Struthio camelus: one gene and its partners. Each later gene encodes a partner of the first gene's protein in a complex. Links are inferred from orthologs where the notes say so. Each region holds a gene or a part of one and is shown in the gene's direction. Other genes may lie near its edges. The genes, in order: G3BP1, ELAVL4 and CAPRIN1.

Region 1 (7,641 bases):
CGGCCAAATCCCTGGCGCTATGGAGTGAGTCCGACTGACCAGCTCTTCCGCCATGGGGACTGGCAGCACCTTCCTGGCCCTGGCATCTCTGCTGGGGCAGGGCCCAGCCAGCACAAAGACCTTGTCCCCACACAGCCCTCAGCCCACACGGATCCCCCCCTTGCCCCACACGGATCCCAGCCCACACGGATCCCTCCTTGCCCCCCCACCCCCCCCACCCACACAGATCTCCCCTTGCCCAACACACCCCCCTGCCTGCATGGATCCTCCCCTTGCCCCACAGGGATCTCCCCCCACACAGATCCCCCCTTGCCTCACACCCCCCCACCCACATAGATGCCCCCTGGCCCCACACAGATCCACTTTGCCCACACACCCCTCAGCCCACACGGATCTCAGCCCACACAGATCCCCCCTTGCCCCAACCCCCCCTGCCCACACGGATCCCCTCCAACCCCACACAGATCCACCTCGCCCCATACCCCCCCCACCCACACGGATCCCCTCCGACCCCACACAGATCCACCTCGCCCCATACCCCCCCCACCCACACGGATCCCCTCCGACCCCACACAGATCCACCTGGCCCCATACCCCCCCCACCCACACGGATCCCCTCCGACCCCACACAGATCCACCTGGCCCCATACCCCCCCCACCCACACGGATCCCCTCCGACCCCACACAGATCCCACCTCGCCCCATACCCCCCCCGCCCACACGGATCCCCTCCGACCCCACACAGATCCACCTCGCCCCATACCCCCCCCACCCACACGGATCCCCTCCGACCCCACACAGATCCACCTCGCCCCATACCCCCCCCACCCACACGGATCCCCCCTGGGCCCCACACGGCTCTCCCAGTCCCCCACTACCCTTCGCCCCGCACCGCCCCAGCCCCGATGCCCGATCCCAGCCAGGCCCAGGCCCAGGCCCAGGCCCAGGCCCACGGCGGGGCCCCCCCGGGGGCGCGGCCCGGCACCCACCGGCATGGCCGAGCGCGGCGGCGGCTCCGGGGCGGCTGGGGCGGAGGAAGGGGCGGGCCGCGCTCCGCGCCGCTCCGCCCCGCGCCGCTCGGCCGGGCCGGGGCCGGCCCTTCCCGGCGGCCTCGCAGGGCCTCCCACCGCCCCGCGCCGCCCTCCAGCCCCCGCCCGGCCTCCCCCAGGCCCGCACAGCCCTCCGACCTCGCACAGCCCTGCCCCAGCCCACAGGACGGCCGCCCTGAACGGCCCACGTCGCCCGCCAGCCCCCCATGGGTCCCCCCATCCCTCTCCCTCCCTACAGGCCTCACAGCCCCACGCAGACCGTGGCCCCGCACGGGCCTCCCCCAGCCCCCCAAAGAGCCCCTGCTCCGTACAGGCCTCCCAGCCTCACACAAACCCCTCACCCCCTCTATGGTAATATATATCAGGGTAATATACACACGCACGCATATAGGTATATATAAAATATATATATATAATTGATATCCCAGCCTCCCCTGCCCTGGGCCTGCCCCCTCCTCTCCCAAGCAGCAGGCGGGCTGGGAGTCAGGGTTGCTTCCCCCTGTTACATGGCAGTTGGGCTGTTACTAGGGACCAGATGGACTCTGGGTTGGTCTGTGGAGCAGCACTGGTATAAACCCAGGCTTATATCCCCCAAGCAGGGACGACCCGGGCCTCACCGTGGGGTAGCTCAATGTTAGCTTAATGTTAATGTTGCACCAGCAAAATCATTCCCATTGCATTCATTTCTAGCTAGTAACCTCCCAGTTCCTGGCATAGCTCCACAAAAAGTGGTTTTCAAAAGATTTTGCAAAGTCATCCAGGGGCCAGTAACTGGGGTTAACTAAACAGAAACACAGGGATAGTAGTGTAATTAAAGAGAGATTGCTACTGTGCTGAGAAGGGGTTACAGCAAAACAGGAGTATCAGAGCTAATGCCTTTTTTTGTACTGGCATGAATTAGTTTAGGCCCTGTTTATCACAAGCCTTACCCAAACTGTATTTGATGCGGGTGTTTGTATGCCATTGGGCCTGTTCTTATACTGACCACAAACTGCTTTTAGTAGTATTTTAGGGACACCTATGTAATTCTTAGCAGAATTGTTTTTCTCTGACAGCACTACAGCTTAACTACAGCCCTGCTCCTGCAGTTATGTTTTTCTTTCTGTTTTTCTTGCACTAAAATATTTTCCCTCCTTCTTAGGAGATGCATTGGAGATGATGTTGGATGAACTCTGCTCGGGGTCATGCTGAAGCAGAACGTCTCTCAGCTGAACAAACTGGCTCAGTTTGCCTGAGGTGGAAGTAAAACTGAGGTAAACTGAAGGCATGAGATGCTCGAAAGGGTTAAAGAGAAAGCAGCTGAGAAAGTTTGTAGTCAATAGGGATCCGTAACAGCTGCTGGGGAATTTCACCACTCTTAGCATAGTGGTATGCCTCTTTGTGATCAAAGGCTAATGATCAGCGCAGAGACAAAGTGGCTGCAGGAGAGAGATGGGAAGAGTCATAAAGGTGGAGCAATAGAGGTGAAGGTTGGCTTGGTTGCTTCACAGAACTGTCTTTGAGGTTTTGAGATGCACTGGAATAGAAGAGCTCTGGTAGACTGGATTATTGAATAAGATTAGGGGTTTGGGGGGGTCTCTGCTTCAAAGTAGGTTGAGTGAAAGGAAGCTGTCCCCTGGGGGTGGGGGGTCTGTGTGTCTACTTGGCCCTTTCAAGGAGAATGGGGTTTTTTGTTAAAAATCTGAGTCGAGGTAGAAGAGGCTGGAACTCGAGGAAGTGAGGGGAAACCTGTGGTGGGACACAGAGGCTGGGATCAGGGTTATTGCAGTTAAGGTGTGTTGGCAGGCTGTAGATTGCCAAGAAAGGAGACCGTGCAGTAGGTCAGAGCTGAGAAAAGCTGGTAGAGCTGTGTAGGGAGGTGTAACACTTGCTAACTGTGTGCTGGGCTTCAATATCTGCCTATTAAGAGGCCTAACTTGTAACTGGAAAAATAACTGGGGTAGGGAGTGTATCTGGTTATCTGTTAGGATAACAACTGTAGCTGCATCTTGGGACTTCAGCTGGCCCTGGCTAACTCTTCCCCTTGCAATGAATTTATAGTGAATATGCTGTGCCCCTGCCAGGAAGACTGGGCAGAAGGGGATGTGAATGGTCTTTCTTAGCAAGCTTCAGTTGCATTAGAGGAAAGAGGGTACTCATTTCTAATGTGTGCAGGACCCTGTTGTTGCACCAACCTTCTTACATGAGAAATGGAATTATCTGAGAGCCTGTCCCCCTGTTATATTGCTGCTGTTTCCAGAGAGACATCTGGGGTCTGACTGGCAGAGAGGTTTTATTTTGGATGGCTGTTGTGCTGGGTCATTGGTCTCATGTTAAGCTTTCCAAAAATCTCTGCTACTGATTTATGAACTGGCAGATTGCAACATGGCTTAGTCTATAAATAGCAGGGGTGTATGTGTGTGGGGGGGAAGGATATTAATGCTGAACATGGCCCAGTGCCAGTCCACTGGCTACATCTCTGCAAGGCATGGCAGGAAGGGTTTAGGCAATGTTCACGGATATGGTGGAGGGAGAGGAGTCATTATTACAGGGTCAAGTATATCTGATTGCTTCATGTCATAGGTATAGTAGGGATAGGAGATGATATAAACAAAGAGGAAAAAATTGGCCTTCCGTGATTTGGCTTGCTCAGGTTGAGTGTCTGCTCCCTTTCCATCCTTATCTCCTCTGGCTCCCTGGACCAGCATCTGCTAGTCCCCAAGCATAGCTCCTGGGAGTGACAAAGGAGCTGTGAACTTTAAGAGCTCACTCCTCCTTTGCAGGATTTCTTGGGCCTTGCATAGTGGGTTGGAAAATTCCCAACTTGACTTGTTCTTCTGGGACAGATGACCTGTCTACTTTGGTCAAAACTTGTGAAGGAGGAGCAGCTGAATGAATTCCTCTGCTCTGGGGTCCCTTGAGGGTGAGCAGAAGAAGTAAGCCCATGTTTTCCTAGCTTGGAGATGGTGATTGCTGTCTTCTCCTTTGTTGTGCGAGTGGACGTGCTGTTTGGGAACCTGTTTCTGGTGACCTCAGTTGTAGTCCTGTGCAGAAAGCTGGAGAAAAGCTCCTTTTACCTGACCCTGCTGGTGGTTTCTAAGTGGGTTAGTTCTACAGGGACTGTCGCCGAGGGCTGTCCTCAGAGCTCTAAGTCCGTATAGCGCTACTGAGGCTAATGGCGCCACAAGGCCGCAATGCTGAGCGCGGGGACTGAGGTGGGCGGCACGGCACGGCCTGCACTGGCCGTGGGGCGACCCTGATGGCTGGCTGTGCTGGGGGGGCCTCGGGGCTGCCGGGGTGATGGGGCTGGTGGTGTGGGGGAGGCCGAGCTGGGGGGCCGGGCAGGTGCCGGGGGAGGCGAGGCGGGGCGGGGTGAGCTTGGACACCTTTGGCCCTCCCCGCCGCCGCCATCTTGAGTGCCGGCCCCGTCCCTCCAGCAGGGGGTGGTGGTTCCGCACTCGCGCGGGCTGCCTGCCCCTTTAAGAATGGCCAGGAGCCGGCCTGTCCGTCAGGGCCCGCTGCGCTCTTCCATTGGCCGCCGCGCTCCGTGCCGCATGGGGTGCCGCCCCTACCTATAACGGGGTTTACCAGCACCTTCTCAAGGGCGCCGCTCTGCGCCTCAACCACACTACCGCGTCAGGCCAGTGCCGCCCCTCGCGCTTATCAGCGCGAGGAGCGTCGTTCTATTGGCTTCTAGGGAAATCCATCAGCTCCCGCCCCACCCTAGCAGCGGGCGCTCCACCTTCCATTGGCTCATCTCGGTGTCGGTCACTCTTACCGCCCTGCGGAGCTGGGCCGCGTGGTTTGTGAAGCGTGCTGCCGCTCAACGGCCCGCCCGCCTTCTTTCCCCACCATGGGCCAACCAGCATCCGAGTGAGAGTGAGCGCCGCTCTTTGATTGGCTGCGCCGCCTGCCACCGGGCTAGGCTGCGCGCCGGATATATGTAGCCGGCCGCTGAGCACGCCGTTGCGTGAGGTGCTTCTCGTCCGCCGGGCAGGGCTGCGGTGAAGCGACGCCTCCCGTTCTCGTCCCGTCCCGCTCCGCCCGCAGGTGAGGAGGAGAGCGAGGGTCCGCGGCCGCGCCGGGGAGAGGGCAGCGGCGGGGTCGACTGCTTCCGGAGACGGTTGCGAACGGCTGGGCCTGGCTCGAGCCGCGCGGCTCGGCGGTAGGCCGCGCGCTTGGGGGGGGGGGAGGGGAGCGGAGGGGTCTCCCCCCACCCCCACCCCTCGTTCTCCCGGCTGCCCCCGCGCCCCGCCGGTCCCGGCCCCGCGCGCAGGGGCCGTCCCGGGCCTGGCCCGGCGGCGCTGTGCGGCGGGCGCCCTTCCCGCCTGCCCCGCAGACGGGCTTCGGCAGCGTCCTTGGGGGTGTCCCGGAGCGGGGAGTCCCCCCACCCCAGGCGGCCGCGCCACAACAGAGTCCTGGCGGCAGCGGGATGCAATGGTGCGCCCGCTCGGAAAGTAGATATTGGGGAAAAAAGAGTGCTAATTTTCGGAGGGGGGGGGTCCCGGGGAGGCACCCACCCGAGCGAGGGGGCTTCATTGTGCGAGCGGAGGTGTAGAGCCGCGAGCTTTGTCTGCGGCTTTGCGGAGTCTGCTCTGCCCCTCCGCTGGGTTGGGGGGAGCCCCCAGACCTGCCGCTGAGCTGGGGTAGGCCCTTTCCGCAGTGGGTTGGCGGTAGGTTGAGGAATAATACTTGGTATTTACACAAGTGTGCCAGTAGGTTAGATTGTAGGTGTGTGTCTCTCTTGCCGCAACTTTACGCGTGGGGGACGGGGGGTCATAACTCAAGCATAAGATGAGCATGTAACTTATTCCTGATATACTTCGTGACCTTGGCTGGATCTGGGATTAAGCCAACGTTTAAATGCAAAGTAGTCCATCTATGAAGACTTTCCAGCTTTTTGTAAGGCCCTAGATATGTTTGTCAGGAGAAGGAAAAGGTTTTCATGTATGTGTTTCAGGTACGTTTTAGTCTGAATGTGTGTGATATAAGGTGTTATTAGTACCTGGTGGCCTTTTATGTTAAGGGTTGCACATAGTAAGTATTCCTTCCAAAGAAAATGATTTTTTCACAATGGGTTAAAAGCAGCATTTGCAGCAAGCCGCCATGTTTCCAGCGTATGCTATTTTTGTCTAGCCCGTGCTCTCACAAGCAGAAGTGACAGCTTTAGGAAATGTGGACGCTGCTATCAAGCTCTGAAAGCTAACACTTCCAGGTGCCGTAAATCAAACTTGGTGTGCATGCTGGATTGTTTTCAACTACCAAGACTTTTTAGAATGGCATTCCAAAGAAAAGCGAGTGCAGAAGTTGACACACAAACCACACTTCAGTTCTTTTCTGAATCTTTCTTTTGACCAAGTTTTCTATTTTCTTATTCCTCCTCTGTCAAGAATAAACCTAATGAGTTTCCTAAAAGGTAGTTCTATAATACTTGGTGGTAAAATGGTCGCATCTTGTGAAGTGAATTCACCTTTTCCAGAGGTATTTCAGCTCAATGTAGTGGAGCTGTTCTTGCTAAAGGACGGTTTAGTTGAACGTACAGCTTAGAACATACAAGAAAGTGTTTACTTCTTTTTTTTTGGTGGCACGGCAGGCTCAGAAATAGGAACATACAATAAGTATGTAGTGCGAAAACTTTTTTCCTAACTGTGACTATAAAACGTTATTCTTCTGCTCTTCTGTTCATTTGTCACTGTCACAATAGCATCGATTTGAGTTCATCATACAACTGATGATATTCCAGATCAGAAGCTCTTGATTTTAAACATGAGATCTTTAGGCACTTGACCAGACAGCAAGCTCCTCCTTGCAGTCTTAATTTTTGTGTGCTTGCATACAATCTTTCTGGAATGTGCTCCAAAGATTTGTAGACTTGTTATTGCATTTCACACTTCTTATAAAGTCACTCCTGTAAGAGCTAAAGTGTGTTTACGTTTTTGACAAGATGCATCTTAGCTTTGATATACCGCTCATGTTCTGAAGTGGCTGAGCATATATCTATTGGAAGATTGGTTCAGAAAAATCAAACTCTGTTTCTCCTTGCGAATTTTTACAATCACATACAGAGCAACGCTTTTTAATGGAAGTGCATTAATGAAAACAAAGATAGTGTTACTGCATGTACACAGGTATTGTTGCTCATGCAGTAGATACTTCTGAGACAGCATTCACAAAGTTAACAGAAATGACCTGTTGGACAAATTAGAAAATAGATTATTGCAGTTTTTAATATTAGAACCTGAGCTTTTTTTTTTTTACTTTATATAATGAATGGAAAATGAAAGAGAAGAAACCAAGTAGAGCAGTTCTTAGGGTGGTGCTAGCTGTTATGCTGGCTTTAGTCTATTGTACTGAACAAAAGGTGAAAGTTTTTTTTTCCTAGAAGACTGGTGCTTGTTACAGCTGACTACCTAAAGTCTTCAAAGTTGATTTGAAGTAATACATAACTTCTCCTTGCCAGAACTACTAGTAGACTTGATAGTCTTTAGCTACTTCATTGGGGTAATAAAAAAAAAAAAAAAAAACTCAAATTATTTTTAAAGACTGTCTACTAATTTTTTAGGCAGTGAACATTATACTTGTCAGAGGTCCTAGTTTTGCTATATTAAGTCTG
Region 2 (7,885 bases), on another chromosome or scaffold:
CCACCTCCTTGATCGGTCTGTACTCTGACATTCACAGGAAGCCCTTTGCTGAGATGGCAGGCTGTGATCTTATATGAAGAGTAAAGTTCTTGTTTTCTTCTTTTCTTTATTCTCCTTCTAATAGGTAGGCCTAATATTATTGCAAATTTTCCACCTCCTTCTCAGCTCCTGTTTGTTGTCCCCTTCCTCAACACTGCCTGCTCTGCTCCTTTCTCTGGCCCCTCCTCATTTTCTTTTGCTCAATTTGATGCATTTTGGAAAGTGTATGTTGGGGGGAGGGGGGGTGTTAGAGGTCTTGTGCTCTCTTGTGCCCATGCACATTACACAACAGCACAGCTTTTCCAGGTTTTCACTGACTTAGTAGCTGGGTGCATGCCTGTTTCACTGACATGCATGCATGCTTGGAAGCCCAGTTCCCAGTTTTGAAAATGAGCATGTGGGTCATATCACCGAGACTTCTCTCATAATCGAGCTATTTACACCTACTCGTTTTGTTACCTCTGTGCTCTGCTGCGCCCTTGAGAATTTTGTTGCAGTTTCCCAGCATTCAGACATAAGTATCCTCAGTGGGACTTGCAGATGCCCACATCTTTAGAAAATTAGTGTGATACAGCAACTATGAAACATCCAAAATATACATCACGTAAGGCATGGAAAAAAAAAAAATTAGGCAAGCTACATTAAATAGCATATACATATAAAGGCAACTGAATTGTGATTTCTGTGGGAGCTGTAACAACTTGTTTAAATTTCATGTATCTAAATTCATGTTGCATGTATCTAATGCAAGGATTATATGTACATATAGGGGGAATGGGTTGGTCTGGTTTTGCATCAAGTGTCCTTTCGCTCCAGACCTCCTTAGCTTGCTCTCTAACCAGTCTTGGATTTTTCTTTCTGGGCACAGATCAAAAAAGTGACAGGATTTCCAGGCAGATCCATGGCATATTTAGCTTCCCCAGTAACAAGAGGAATCTCAGCATACAAGATAGCATGATACATCAGCAGCAGAGCTTGTACAGCTAGTCAGTGGGGTCTACAGCAGGGAGAGAACGAGAGGCAGGAATGGATTCCTGCATTCCTGAGAGAATCATCAAAAAATAGAAACAAATAAATAAAAGCCACAAACCATATCAGTCATCTTTTCTTTCACCTACTATTTAGTTTTTCCTATGTTTTGTGGACCTTTCTAAACCTTTTTTTAGCATTTGATTATCACTACTATTTTATGCATAGTGTAATCAAATGTAGACTAACCTTAAAAATTTTAATCTCCTTTTTTCCTCAAATATGTGAATTCTCTAATGTTAAAGGGCAGTTGTCTAAAGAACACTTTGTGTCATGCAGTGTTACAGTCTCTATCACCTACTGCTGCTTCATTTGCACAGGCCAGTTGGTAGGATTTTTTTCTTTAAACGTTCAGTAGCTAAATAAACTTATTTATAGATAGTATATAGTAAGCTGTTCAAATAACAGGTAAAAACTTACTGTATGGGTAAATACTCTGTATAGCCATTGTTGTTGTCCTCTCCCTCCTGCCCCCAGCAGGTCCATCTCATCTCCTATGCATACGCGTGCAGTTTGTTTAACAAGGCTGATTGTTCAGGTTTTTTCTCTTTCCTGATGTCTCACTTTGGGTTAGGCATCATGGACAATTTGACCCTAGGTTTTTTTTACCAAAACTGAGGACTTCCAACATCACTTAATTGTACATGAAGCTTTTCAGATTTTCTTGTGGTTGCATAGATGGCTTTGAAATAGTCGGTTCTCCCTGTGTACGTTCATAAGGGGTTTCCATCCCGTTGTATTCACTTTTTCTTCTGGCGCTCTCTTTTAAATTCATGCAGTGGATTTGGCAGTAGTGTAAGTGGTGGATGACGACATTTTAAATTACTATGAGATCCACTGCTGAAAATGCTGCATGTGAGCTCAGTGTTGTTAAAGATAGTGTTGATGTGATATCTTGAACTGGAGACTGTGTTTCTGCAGAGGTTCTTGAATTACTGCACAGGGCAAACCCTAGTGCTTGCATTGTGTAATGTCCTTTCCTAGCCCATTGTTTTCTTTTAAATCATTTTATAGTTCAAATCCATCTTTGTCGCGCGTGTCTCCTTTGTTCCTCATCCGCCTGCACCCTCCCCTATGCCAACAGCAAAATATTCTTTGGTCAGAATTAAATACTAACTTTATGATAGAAGTGTCTTAAAAAAGAATAAACGTAGTTTTAAGCATAAATGTGTAATCCACTGGAAAAGTGAAAATGAAGTGCTGGAAAATGCCAGGCTGTAGTTCATAGGCAGCAGCATTTAAATGGTTTGCTGTAATCATATTAGGATAGAATTAAACTGAATTCTTTATTTTGTACTGCAGTGAAATAGGACTGTTAGTGATCACTTTCTCCTCCCTCTTGCTCTGATGATTAGCGTGAAAACTCGAGCAGCAAAAATTATGGGAGTTCTGCAGCAGTGCACAGAGAAACTGGTGTGAAAGAGTCTGAGTTGAAGTTTTGTGTCCTTGCACATGAGAGCTCTGGTGCTTTCCTAATAGACTGAAAATGAGACTACTGCTGCTTTATAAGAGGTCTGTTCCAGCCACATTGCTCTACAGCTTGGCAGATGGTGGCATGTGAATGGTTTCATATTGATTGGATGGATTTGCCTCAGGGTAAGAGGAGTGTGGGTCCTTAAAGATGTACTTCCAGCCTTTTTTCCTTTTGGTTTGAAAAAAGATGTATATTTATAAAACATTTTTCTTTAAATCAGTGGAATGTGTGGTAATCAAAGCACTGAAGTTACCTGGAAATAAAAAGTCCTTAAATAGATTATCACAAAGACCAGAAAGCCAAGAATACTCATTTATTAAATGATTACATTTTTACATTAGAAGAAAGTGACACTTTTAATTAGGGTTCAAGGCATATGGTGAATGAGGAAATAAGCTTATTTCATGCAAACAGAAATCGATGCAAATAACCTTTCTCCTCATATAAAAAGGGATGACTTGAAACTCAATACATATTCAAGAAGGTTAAGTCATTACTGCATCACTTTAATATTAGTTAAAGGCCAACAAAGAAAATCATTGCTGTGCATATACTTACTCAGCAAGGATTGCTATATGTGAAAGAATTGGGTGATGGTACTTGTAAGTGTTAAACGCGAAGAAACCCCTATTCATATAATGCTTTTATTCCTTAGCCTCAGTATATAACCTCTTGGGTTCTGCCTTAGCATAGGTAGTTGAAAAAGGGCCCTTAATTCTCACAGCCATTCCTGCTAGCCAGTAAAGACAGGCTTTTGTGATCCTCTTTGTTCATTGTTCCTCCTTACACCTCTGTCTGTGCTTTAATCTTGTAAATGTTGTTTTTAATTTCTTCAATGCAAGTGTCCTTTTTACTGTGTTTGTACAGCACCTAACACAAAGTATTCTGATCTAATTCAAGCCTCTGGGTGTTGCTGTAGAGCGATGAGTAAAGAAAAAAATATATATATAGTAATAGGAGTATTCCTTGATGTATTTGACCTTAAATAAGGCAAAAACCATTTCTGAATAGCTTGCAGACATGTGGTGGGGAGGGTTTGATAACTTAGACTTAGGTGCTGTTGAAAACCGTCTTTTTTATATATATATTTTAGACTTGTGCTCTAATGCGTGTAACAGTGATTACATAAATTAATTTAAGCCAAAATACATCAATAGCAATATTTTATCAAGTTGTCTTCAATTTTGCTTGAAGGTATAGTTCATATTTTCTAACAGTCTACCCACATGTGAATTATTTATATGTTGAATTTTATGTTTTCTTGAAACACCATTGTCATGCTGAGCTTGATGTTAATTTTTTCTTCTGCAATAGAGAGCATTTCTATGGGTGTACTTTCTCTGTTAATTACACTTTATTACCTGAATTGATTGGTTTTTTAATCGTTTAGTTCATTTTTGCTGAATGAAACACTCTGGCATAAATTTTAAGGTCCCTTTAAAAAAAAAAAAAAATCACTGGTAAAAGTTAAGTGATTTAGGATTTTTGTTCGGTCTTACTCTAGGGAAGGAAAGGGCACAAAACAGTGCAAAATGTTTTTTTTTTTTTTTTCCCCCCCTGTTTTCCTGCTTGATAAATGGGGGGTGGGGGGGGGGGGAAATTGTGCTGTATATCACAACCAAAAGCTATTCCAAGAAAAATCTTTAAGATGGTTACTTGAATCTGTGTACACTGCCCACCTGGTGGTTATGGAGTGAACTGTTACTTTAAAGAATAGTTTAAACAACAGCCATGTTTGGGGCAGGCTAATCTTGCAAAGAGAGCAGTACATATAACAGGAGTCTACTGTATGATAAGGGGAAAATTCAGCTCACTGACTAGATGTTTTAATGTGCGAACTCTAGGGAAATAACATATTGACTATTCTGTTGTGCGCAAGAAAATTGAAGAACCCTTTGCAGACAGAGGGCTTGCAAAGGATTCTTTCTGTTCCTCTTAACCAAAATCTGTGGCAAGATGTTTGAAATCAGCAGGACGCTTAATGCTGCTTTGTTAAATAATGAGGTAATATTTTGTCACTTTTTCTGGGCAGCATCTGTTTTTTCTCCTTTTTCATATGTTTATGAAGGATTCAGTTTAATCTTACGAAAGTAGGAGATTAAAAAAATCATTCTTCAATTTATTATTTTTTTTTTCCTTTTGATGCTTTTGGAGAATTGGGTTGGCTTTTATTTGCGGTTTCAATCGGCTGCTGTTGCCTAGGACATTATGCCACGTAAGGCTTCTAAACTGCACAGAGTAGGTAGTTATTAACGCTGAATTGGCTTCTGGTATAGTCCATCTGGGCTCTGTATGAGAGAGCTTGCTAGCGGCTACTGATGCTAAGATACCCGCAACCTTTGGGATGTATGCGTGGTGGAGAGGGGCTCAGTGATATGAGATCACTTCTTTTAAGGGAAACTGTCATTAATGAGTCAAGAAACTGCTCATTTATGGTAAGGAGAGGGAGGGGGGGTTGGGGAAACAACCCTGTGATTTCATTTTGATATTGGATTAGCTGTTTAAGACAAGTTTCTTTTTTGTGGGGATGGAAGATTGCATTAAAAATATGCTTTGCTCAGGGGCTTACTGGCTGATTCTGGAGAGGCTATATTGAGAATTTGATGCTTTACAAATGTGTCACAACTGCGATGCAGTGGTCAGTCACTCACCCTGAGAGAGAAATGGTAGTATTGGAAACACGAGAATAAGGTTGACTTTTTCAACAATAGGATTCTGCCTTTGTCTTTACAGAGAGAGGCCTCTGAGGACGTTTGAGCGTTTGTTTTAGCGTTCCTCGGCAGGACTGAATGTGAGGGGTGTTTGGGGGAAAAGTGGTCAGCGTACAAAGTACCTGGATTTATAGACTGTTAAAATAGCTAATTGTTTAGAAGCACAGGGTGCAATTATTGTTTCAGAAAAATGGCTGAATCTTTTGATGTGTATAAGAAATGTATAGCAACAAAGTAGGCTGAAGTTGAAAAGACTTAAAAATAATTTCTCGATTCCTTCTGCAGTGTTATTAACCCCTGAAGAGACCTTAAGTAAAAATTTGCATTACAAATTTAACTTTAATATTCAATGTATATTTGCACAAGAGTCTATGGTAATATACTAGCTCTGTAGCATTTCGATGCCAGTGTATTCACTCTAATAGGTCACTTAGTATTTGAGTTAGGAAATCAATCTTAGTTTAATCTTTTCCAGTTTTTACTAAGCTACAAATGTGCTCAAAAAGATGCATGGTAAGAGAAATCCTCTGCAGCCTTTGAAATTGCTCGTATTTTAATTGAATTCAGTGCTCATTCCACAAATAGGTTGCATGGTGCTTTTAAATGCTTGGTCTTTTCTTTCTTGCTTGGTCTGTTTGTAGCTAGATTTGTACAAGCTTACTATATTTCATATATTTTATTGGTGTGTTTGTGTGTGGGTTTTAGTGTGTCTATGGCTTAAAGAAATTTAAAATGTACTGAATGTCAGTTCTGAGCTTAACAGTTCTTAGAGCATATTTATCCTTCAAAAAAAAAAAAAACTATAGAACAATGATTTTTCTGATTACGTATTTTTGAAAGTGTTTTTAGTGTTTTGTAGCCAGGTTTTGTTTCTCCAGAAGAGCGAAGTGAGCTTATATCATGGCCCATCCTAGCTTTCTCCGTTTTTAGCTCTTAACGTTTAAAAACGCTTGCAGTGATATTGAATCTTTAAAAGCCATATTTAGCTGTTGACTAGAATGATAAAATTAAATGATTCCTATGTATGTTTATGGATTAATACGCGGTCGCTTTAGTTTAGGCGAATGTTAATTCAAGGTTAGTTGCAATTATAGGATGCCATGCCTTGTTAGTTTGGCCAATACACGCTTTCAGAAAAATAGCTCCTCAAGTCAGAAAAGAAATGAATGCATCGTAATTAAAAGAATTTTTAATAAACTTGCTGTGGCTGGGAGATGGGAAAATATTGCTGTTTGAAATTGAAGTTTTGTTAGTTTGTCAGTGGAAGCGAGTGGAGGATTAATGGGTGTTCATTGTTAAGTTAAGCACGTTCCTCTCTAAGGCTGGAAAAAAATTTCTTTCAAATGCCCAGAGTTAGTCATCATTTTATTTCCTGTAAAGTTGGAGAATAACGAAGTGAGGTAGCGAAATAATTCTAAAATACTACTTTCATTCTGTGAGAATGTTCTGATAAATAGATGTCTGCTGTGCTTTAGACAAAGTCAAGTGACAGGAGTATCAAATCTAGTGCTAAAAATATATATAATTTTGAAAACTCTTACCGCTAAAGGAGGCAAGAGTAGTTGATTAATAAAATCAATAGTACCTAAAAATAAATGCAGTTTAAATGCACACTGAAGTGCTTTTGTCGTATCTTTAAGCCTAGAGGCAGATCATTAAATATGCATTTCTCCGGAAAGCAACTGTCTCAAAAGATAAGGTGGTTAAAATACTCTGGACCTCAAAGCCATGCGTGCAAGAGGTAAGAAGATGTAGTCGCTGAAGCATGGCTGAGGTACGACATCTCCACAGCAGAGGCTTACAGACTGTGGATGTGGCCTGCAACTGTTACTGTACTTGTGGGGTGGGAAGAGGTAAAAATACATGTATGTGTGTTGTTTCTTCAACTGGGCCTTAATTACTAGACACAAGCAGCAGTTCAGAAATCTGGTCTCTGTTGTTGTAGAGGTCACCAAATCATTAACATTGTCAATCTGGCGGTAGCTAATTTCAATAGCACCTGATGTTGCAACGCCTCCCTTAGTGTCCCCGGCCAATCGGCGCCCGGCTTCTGCTGACAGATGGTCCCATAAATGGATGTAAAAAGGAGACGCTGCAAGCCAATTTCAGCAAGGCTCTGTTCAGTTGTTCTTATCTACATCCTAGAATCGGGGGGCTTCAGCACAGTGCGCTTTTTTTATTCTTTTGCTGCACAAACGTCTGCACTGTGCTTTGTGGATCTTTAAAAAATAATAATAAAAATAATTCCCTGAAACCTTAGCAAATCTTTAGAAGAGTTGAAGCCTTTCAAGACCCAATATTTGCCATTAAGAATGGTTATGGTAGGTATTAGTAGATTTAAAATCTGCTTATAGCAATTTTATATATATATAGATAGATATAGAATCTAACATATAGATTTCCCCAAATCTGCATCATTCTCAGTCTGTGTTTTCACATGAATTTAGTTTTCTGCTACTGATTTGTTTGTACATTATCTCTCCCTTTTTTCCTCTCCCTTTCTCTCTCCCCTGCTTTCTCTGTCTCTCTCTCTCTCTCTCGCTCTCCCTTTCTTTCATATTTAATGTGTGCGTATCCTTTAATAAAGGATGTACTTTGTCATTTTAAGGTAATTGTGATTTCTCTCAGAATA
Region 3 (7,480 bases), on another chromosome or scaffold:
AGACTTGCTAATAATGAGAGAAAACGACATACCATGCATGGGTCAGAATTGCTGGTTTAGGAAAACACAGTACATAAAAGCAGGGTGGGAAAGATGGGGAGACATAGGATTGGCTTCCGCCTTGGAGAAGCGGGTAATGAGAAGATAGAAAGGTACGGAGCTTGGGTACAAGGTTTGGGGAGATAGGGGCACCTATGCCTAGACAGGACACTAGCACTGTCTTGACAGGAATGGTCCAAATGAGACGGAGCTGCAGAGACACAGCTTGTCTTTGGATTTTGCAAGGAACTAACCTGAGACCTCGCTCTTGCTTGGAAGTAGTTCTCAAGAAACAGGGCAAGAGGAATTTCTTTTATTGGAGAAAAACAGCAGAGCAGGGGGCTATTAGTACTTCTGTGCAGGATCTTCATGGGGAAGGGCAGGTCTTGAGTTTGTGGAAATTACCTAAGCAGCTCCGTGCATGAGGGGAATCTGAAATAGAAAGGGCTAGGAAGGTTGTGTTGAGAACAACTACAGTGACATAAGGGAGGATCAAGGAAACTGTCTGAGGTGGCAGCACAGCGGAGGAGGCTCTATATCCCTACAGAATATTTATTTATCACTTGAGCCCTGATTAGAAGTACACCAGCAAGTGTAAGACCGTTCTCCTCCTTTTTTTTTTTTTTTGTGCCACTGGTTGGTTAAGGGGTTTTTTGTTTGTTTGTTTTTGTTTTTTAATACACCTGTCTGGTTTTGTCCATTAGCGTTTCTAAGGGCTGGAAACTGAGAAACACAGAAAAGATGTATTCCAAATTTGCAATTACAGCTGATGTAAAATAATGACAAATGAAAACCCAGAGAAGGACAGCATGTGAGAAGTCTCACTGGAGAGCAAAGAGCAGATCTACATGTCTCCTATATCTGTCTCCATGCTGCTTGTAGGGAGGTGGAGGCCTCCTTGTGCAATTTTGTGGTCTGAAGGTTCAGGTTTGTGGAAGTCCAACCTAGGCTTTCACTGTTCAGTAGGACTTATTTTTCCCTCCTCCCTTGCCTTTCTGCAGTGACTAAGCAAGTGCTACTCCAAAATCAGTAACTTCAGATTTCATCTTCATTTGTACAGTTTGCAAACATGAAATACAAAGCCAGCTCCCTACAAATAAGATGATTTGATTTGTACCATAATTAGGCAGAAGTGTGATTCCATCCAACGAGCTAACAAAAAAAGAGGTCAAAGGAGGAGAGGCCTGAATGATCTACAGGGAGGTCATCCTGCACAAGGTAAGTAAGGGAATACTTATCCCAAAGAAACGTAAAGACCTATGTGCTATTTACAAGTTTGTCATGCCAACTGGTCTGCCGATAGGGCATGATGTTACCACAGTAAAGCTTGCTCACGGAAATGTCTCTATATAACAAGTGGTTCAACACTTCCTTTGAAGTAAAAAGGATGAAGTCTCAACTCCTTCACCCTTGAAGGTGAGGAATTCTTATGCAGGCTTTTCTATCAGGAGTTCATCAGTGTTGTTGGCACAGAGGTATAATACGTTTGAGGTCACTGATCCTCAAGGAATGGTATGAAAAATGTAGATTAATATAGTATGACCTGTTGAAAATTATAGGCCTATTCACTGTTACATATATTTTAAGAGGACAAATCTCAGCTTGACTACACAGTGCAATTTTTGCATGAAAGTTTTTTTTTTTTTTTTTTTCAGAGTGAATTTTAGATACGGAAATTTTAACTTTAAAGTTAATGCAGACTAGGCCTAGATAGGCCTGCTTCTGCTTACATTTGCTGCCTAAAATGAGGTGTTCCCAGGCCACTCCAAGAGATTACTGAAAGTTTTGGGGATTTGGTATCAAAGAGGTTTAACTGTAGTTTAGTACCAAAAGTGGATTATGCTATGTACAATGATGATAGACGCCTTTGGTAAAGTTGCCATTATATAGTAACTCATTGTTCAATGAATTTAGCAAGGCTTATCCCATGTTATACACAGAAATGTTACTTTATTAGTCTGATATCGAACATAAGTTCATTTTATTAGTATAATAGTATAATATAGAAGTCCTCCACTTTTAGTTTCTGTGTAAGAATACTTTCTTATGCTTTAGCACGTTGAGCGTAGCAATAGTCTCAATTCCATCTTTGACTAACCAGAAAGGCATCTGGTGTAATTATGAAGAGTTTTGATGCAATAACTGTCATGTAATTATCTCAGGAGCAGTATTCTTATCTTGGTGGGGGGGGGGGTTGGTTTTTTTTTTTCTTTTTTGAGACCATGAACACTTGCCATTCAGTGGTATGTCCTCCCACTAAGGATAACTATCTCTCTAGTGGTCAAGAGATGGGCTTTATTGTGGTCCAACATGACTTTTTAACTCATTGTCACCAGTCCTCCCACTGCTGTAACTTTTATGGCCGTTTTCGAGTTCTTCAGCAATGTAGTGTTGAGTAGAAACGATTTTAAGCTCCTGTGACTTGGCTGAAAAATGTACTTAAGCCATTGAGTTCCCAGAGCTTATAAAGAATTGCAATGGCAAAGCAAGAAAAAGTAGAAATAAATAACAATGGATAAAACAATACCATATTATTTAAGTATTACATTTTATGGTCAAAAGGCCTCAGTATACTTCAAATGTTCATGAAGAAACTGCGTCTGATTTGGGAAGAAGGTAATTTCAACTGTTCTGTAAGGGTTATAAAGAAATAAATAACTACATAAAAAATTAAATCTTGTAAATACAATGGCAAGAACAAAACATTACTGGCGAGTAGTGAAAAAGGAATTACTTTCAATATTTGATGGCTTTTTTTATACTTTATTTATTCGACTGAAATATATGCAGTTGGATGATTTATTACACTTGTCCTATAATCTGCTATGCAAAGAGGCAATTTGGAAAGCAAATAATCTGATAGCAGCTCAGTGCTTTGTCATCTTATGTGAAATGCAAGCATACATGAAAAGAAAAGTAGAAGCTTAAGAAGCAATGTTTACAGATGGAATAAAGAAAAATCTAATCATTCACACATTAACTACTAGAACATGAGGTCAAAGAAAGCAGTTTTCTGCTGGGTTATCAACTGCAGCTAACTCATGGAGAAACAAGAATCAGAATGGGAACAAGGAAAGGGAAAGGACTGTGTATAAGGGATCTGGTGACGATAGGAAGGGTAATGAGTCCTCTTCCTTTCTGCAGTGGAGAACCATTAGGCTGGCTCAGTTGAAGACACGGCTCTCACTTGTGTCACGTAATTGATTGTGTGGCTCCTTGACAAGATAGATCAAAGAATGATCCTGCTTTAAAGCAAAACAAAATGATAAAAATATGATCTTAACCAGTATTGCAACCAAAACTTTCCTCTTGAATTTGAAGGTGCGGAGAGGCTCAAGGGATATTTAAACTTACAATTTTTGGCACAGGCTGGTATGACGCACGCCTTGGTGCAACTGTGGCTTCTCCTCAAATTGAGACTGCTTTGTCTTAAGAAAGAACGTCATGATAGTTCATATTCTAACAATAATACATTAAAATAACACAAATTGCTTGTACTTGGTCTATGACTACAGTCTAAAACAAAGGCCAAGAAGGAGTTTAAAGAACAGAGTTGAGGTAACGGTTAAAAACACGTTTTGGGGCCTTATCTTGCCAAAGTATTTCTCCCATTGATTTCAAAAAGACAGCGGACTGAAATATTTTCAATGCTATTTGGCTCCATGCCGGCCACAGCCAGTGGCATTTCATTTCCTCATTAAAGAAGGTGTAACGGTCATGTGAAGTTTTCCTTTGCTTCACAAAAAAACAGATGCTATATCAGTACCTTTTTAAAAATTGATATTATTAGTTGTCAGCCTAAAGGTGAAGGTTCAGCACACAGCTGTTGCAGGGACACTGCACAGCTTTGGGCCACAGAAACGCAGGAACAGTTAAGGTGAAGCCTGGTAAGACAGGCGAGCGAGGGCAACTGTCTCTCGGGGACCGAAATGCGGTTATTAAGGCCCCCTGACAGCTGTGACACGCCATTCAAGGGAACCCTCCCGCCTTTAGGGACGTGCCTTAAGGGCAGGAGCAGGCAAAGAGCGGGCTCGGGAGCAGGGCTGAGGCTGGGAGTCGCCCACGGCGAGGCGGGAGCGGCGGACGGCCGAGGGGCCCTTCCCCGGGCAGGCCGCCGGCCTGCGCGACCCCCGCCTGGGGCAGGGGCTGCCCCACGCACGCCGACGCCGCCGGTGTGTCAGCGGGCGCCGCGGGACAGGACCGCGCGAGGGGGGCGGCCGGCCTCTGCCTCCGCCTCGCCAGCCAGGGCCGCGGCTCCGCGCACAACGGCCGCCGCGGGGCCCGGGCTCCGCGGCCCCTCTGATGGCGGCGGGCCGCCCCGCCTCGCTATTGTGTCTCGCGCGTAGGCGCCCGGCGCGCGCCTGAAGGACCCGCGGGCGGCAAGCCGAAGGGCAGGCCGGCTGCGGGCAAGCGCCTCCTCCGCCTGGGCACGGCCGAGCGCCGGAGCGGGCGGGCGGGCTCAGGCGTTCTCCGCGGGCACTCCCGGGCGGCGAGGACCCCGCGCTGCTCGCTCCCGCGCCGCCTGCCTTACGCGCTCGCGTGCGCGCTCTCGCTCCCTCCCCTCAGTCGCTCGGTGCGGAGGTAGCAGGAGCAGCGCAGGCGGCGGGGCCCGAGTCGGCTGAGGCGGCCATTCCTGTAGCGAGAGCGCAGCGCACTGAGTTCCCCCCCCTCCCCCGGGCCACTCGCGCACACGGTGAGGGGAGTGGCGAGGCCGTGCGGACACCGGCGGGGGGCGGGGGGGGGGAGGAGGGCGAGCTCGGGCGATGACCGTTGGCTCGGGGGGGGGAGCCGCGAGGCGGCCCGTCACGTGACCGCCCTGCGCGCGCCCGGCGGCGGCCGGCTCAATGGGCGGGGGGAGGGGGGCGGCGGGGCGCGCGCCGGCAGGTGCGGCTGGCGCGCGCGCCCTAGGCGTGGGGAAGCCGCCGAGTGCGCGCCCGCCCGCGTGTCCCCGCCGGCGGCCCGTTCCCCCGTAACGCGCTCTCTCTCTCTCTAGCAGAGATGCCCTCGGCTACTAATAGCACTATGGCCAGCAACAGCGGGAAAGCGGTGCCGGGCAGCGAGGCTGCCCCGGCGGCGGCGGCAGCAGCAGCAGCAGCCGCCGCCGCCGCCGCCCCGCCAGCATCGGGCGGCAGCATCACCTCGGTGCAGACCGAGGCCATGAAGCAGATCCTGGGAGTGATCGACAAAAAGCTGCGCAACCTGGAGAAAAAAAAGGTGCTGCTCTCTGCCCCCCCGCCCCCCCACCCCGGGGTGGGTCTCGGGCCCCGCGGCCCCGCTCCTCCCCGCCCGTCTCACCTCCCCCTCCCCCCGGGAGCTTCCGCCTTCTGGTGATGGTTGCCCTGGCGGTGGGCTACCTCGGAGCGACGGGGAAACATCCCATCCCATCCTGTTCCCTTCTGTCTCGCCTGTGCCGGCGATGCGCCGGCCGGCAGGGCAGTTCCTCAGCCGTGCCGTGCCGTGCCGTGCCGGCCGCGTTGGCTGGGGTGAGGAGCCGGCGGCCTGCTCGCGTTGTTCCCGGCGTCGCCCCCAGGGGCCGCCCGCTGGAAGGTTCCAGAAGGGCGAGCGGCTCTGCCTGCCGATCCCCTGCCGGGGTCCCCCTGCCCCCCGGGCCGGCCGCCCCTGCTGCGCGGCCCCGCGGAGCGCCCCCGGCGCGCCCCCGCCCTCTGCCACGCGCTGCCGGCAGCCGGCAGGGCCGGAGGGGTCGCGGCTGCCGCCCCCTCCCGCCGCGTGGCCCGTGTCCCGGCGAGACCCTCCGAGACGCGGCTTCCCCCCCCCCACACTCCGCCGCCTTCCGCCTTTTGTTCCCCTCGGGCGGCGGGGCCCGGCCGAGCTGCGCTCCCGGCCGGCCGCTGCGTTTGGCCCGCGATTTCCCCCCCCTCCCCGCCCCTCCCGGCGGCCTCCCGCTGCCCCGCACCGGCCCCGCCGCGCGGCGTGGGGGTGGGGGGCTGTGGCGCGCCGGGCGGCCTCCCCGCCCGGGCACATGGAAGCCGCACTAACATGGCGGCGGCGAGAGGCAGAGCCTCGGCCCCGCCGGCGGAACTGCATTGTGCGAGCAGCCGGCACAAAGCCGGGGGCCGCCGGCCACCCCGCCGCGCCCCACCGCGGGGTTTCACTGCGGCTACGCGCGCCCCCTCGGGAGTCTCAGCTCAGCGGGAAGCTGTCCTCAGGGAGTTATTTATAGGTACAGCAGCGACCAGATCCGTGGTCCTCAGAGGGTTCGAGCTGTGACAGCAGGGAAAAAGGGTGCTGTGGTTACTTTCGGTGTATACGGCCCCCGCTCTAGCTCGGTGTTGTTCGAGCCACAGAAGGGTTTCTAGCCCACAGAGCACAGAGTGTCCATCGGAGTTAAACACTAAAATACGTGTTACCTACAGTCTTATTTCAAGCTGGTATGTTAATAAGCTAAAATTTGGGAGTGTTAAAAATAACCTCATATCTGTATTGAGGTCCTAAATCTGTTTTTTCCACTTCACTGCCCTTTTACAGTTTTTCTTATTTATGAATTTGGCCTTTTTCTAAACTAGCACTTTAAGCAGCGGTAGTCTAGGCTAGTGTCCTGTGTTTTAGGAGGCAGAAATATCAGCAGTGAGTTAGGCAGTATAGCTGAGTTACAAATGAAGCAAGCTGGGTGTTGCTTTGTATCTGTAAATGTGTGTGCAATGTGGTTTCCCACTTAAAAAATGGATAGTGGATTTTTTTTTTTCCAAGCAAAACCAAAAGGACAAGCCAGGGACTTTAAGTTTTGGAGTTATAGGTTCTTGTCCTGGTCTGAGTACATATAGGTGCATATAGATGACTGTCTTAAACTCATTATTAAAATATGCATACATTCACACACACAAAAATACTGATCCTCAAGTTGAGAAGGAATGCAAAAATCTTTTAATATGTCCCCTAAGTGCTTTGGATAAAATAAAATGGTGTGAAAGGTTCAAAATGAGTGTCATGTCTAATGTATAGAAAAATCCTCCAGAAATAGCTTTCTAGGATGCTCAAAATGTATGTTTTGAAAATTAAAATTGGAAGGTGAAAAGTCTTCTGATCTATTCTGTACTTGGAAGAAATAAAGCGGATAAGCACAGTTTCATTGGTGTGTGGGTCAGCTTTCCTTTCTAGTAGCATTTTTATTTACCTTTAAAAATAAATAATTTACACCTAATTTATACCTGGCTGAGCCATTTCATTCTTTTTGAATGGACTTTTTGGTCAACTTCTATGTGAAGTATCTTAAGATGGAAGGATGTATGGAAGGCTATTATTTTCTGACAGAACAGGGTGAAGATTAGGGGTGTGTTTGTCTCATGAAAGCCCTAGTTTTTTTTTAGTTATGTGTCTGTGGCTGCTGTCACTGCTTTTTATAATTATGATGTCATAGCAAGTGAATACAGGGAATGAAGTGCCTTTTTTCTGGAAATGGCTTTTATTGAAAGAAGATCTTGAA

Evidence for each region.
Region 2: G3BP1 (region 1) and ELAVL4 share a complex: the UniProt entries of both Homo sapiens proteins name them as parts of the TAU mRNP complex. The link is inferred for Struthio camelus from reciprocal best matches to the Homo sapiens genes G3BP1 and ELAVL4.
Region 3: the proteins of G3BP1 (region 1) and CAPRIN1 are in contact, whole or in part, in a crystal structure (PDB 8TH7), measured with the Homo sapiens proteins. The link is inferred for Struthio camelus from reciprocal best matches to the Homo sapiens genes G3BP1 and CAPRIN1. Residues at the interface, in NP_005745.1 of Homo sapiens: Glu4, Lys5, Pro6, Ser7, Leu10, Val11, Glu14, Phe15, Arg17, Gln18, Thr21, Leu22, Met29, His31, Arg32, Phe33, Tyr34, Gly35, Lys36, Gln58, Lys59, His62, Leu114, Glu117, Asn122, Lys123, Phe124, Tyr125; in NP_005889.3 of Homo sapiens: Met363, Gln365, Met366, Gln367, Gly368, Pro369, Tyr370, Asn371, Phe372, Ile373, Gln374, Asp375, Ser376, Met377, Leu378.

Annotation. Positions count from the first base shown.
Region 1 is NC_090954.1:13,100,340-13,107,980, reverse strand, and holds the start of G3BP1 (ras GTPase-activating protein-binding protein 1), read left to right. Parts: upstream 1-4,602; 5' UTR 4,603-5,078; intron 5,079-7,641. UniProt on the Homo sapiens protein: Protein involved in various processes, such as stress granule formation and innate immunity. Plays an essential role in stress granule formation.
Region 2 is NC_090949.1:30,524,833-30,532,717, forward strand, and holds the start of ELAVL4 (ELAV-like protein 4), read left to right. Parts: upstream 1-4,845; 5' UTR 4,846-4,860; coding exon 4,861-4,977; intron 4,978-7,373; exon of another isoform or gene 7,374-7,565; coding exon of another isoform or gene 7,566-7,574; intron 7,575-7,885. UniProt on the Homo sapiens protein: RNA-binding protein that is involved in the post-transcriptional regulation of mRNAs. Plays a role in the regulation of mRNA stability, alternative splicing and translation.
Region 3 is NC_090946.1:33,683,827-33,691,306, forward strand, and holds the start of CAPRIN1 (caprin-1), read left to right. Parts: upstream 1-4,410; 5' UTR 4,411-4,732; intron 4,733-5,032; 5' UTR 5,033-5,037; coding exon 5,038-5,253; intron 5,254-5,393; exon of another isoform or gene 5,394-5,671; intron 5,672-7,480. UniProt on the Homo sapiens protein: mRNA-binding protein that acts as a regulator of mRNAs transport, translation and/or stability, and which is involved in neurogenesis, synaptic plasticity in neurons and cell proliferation and migration in multiple cell types.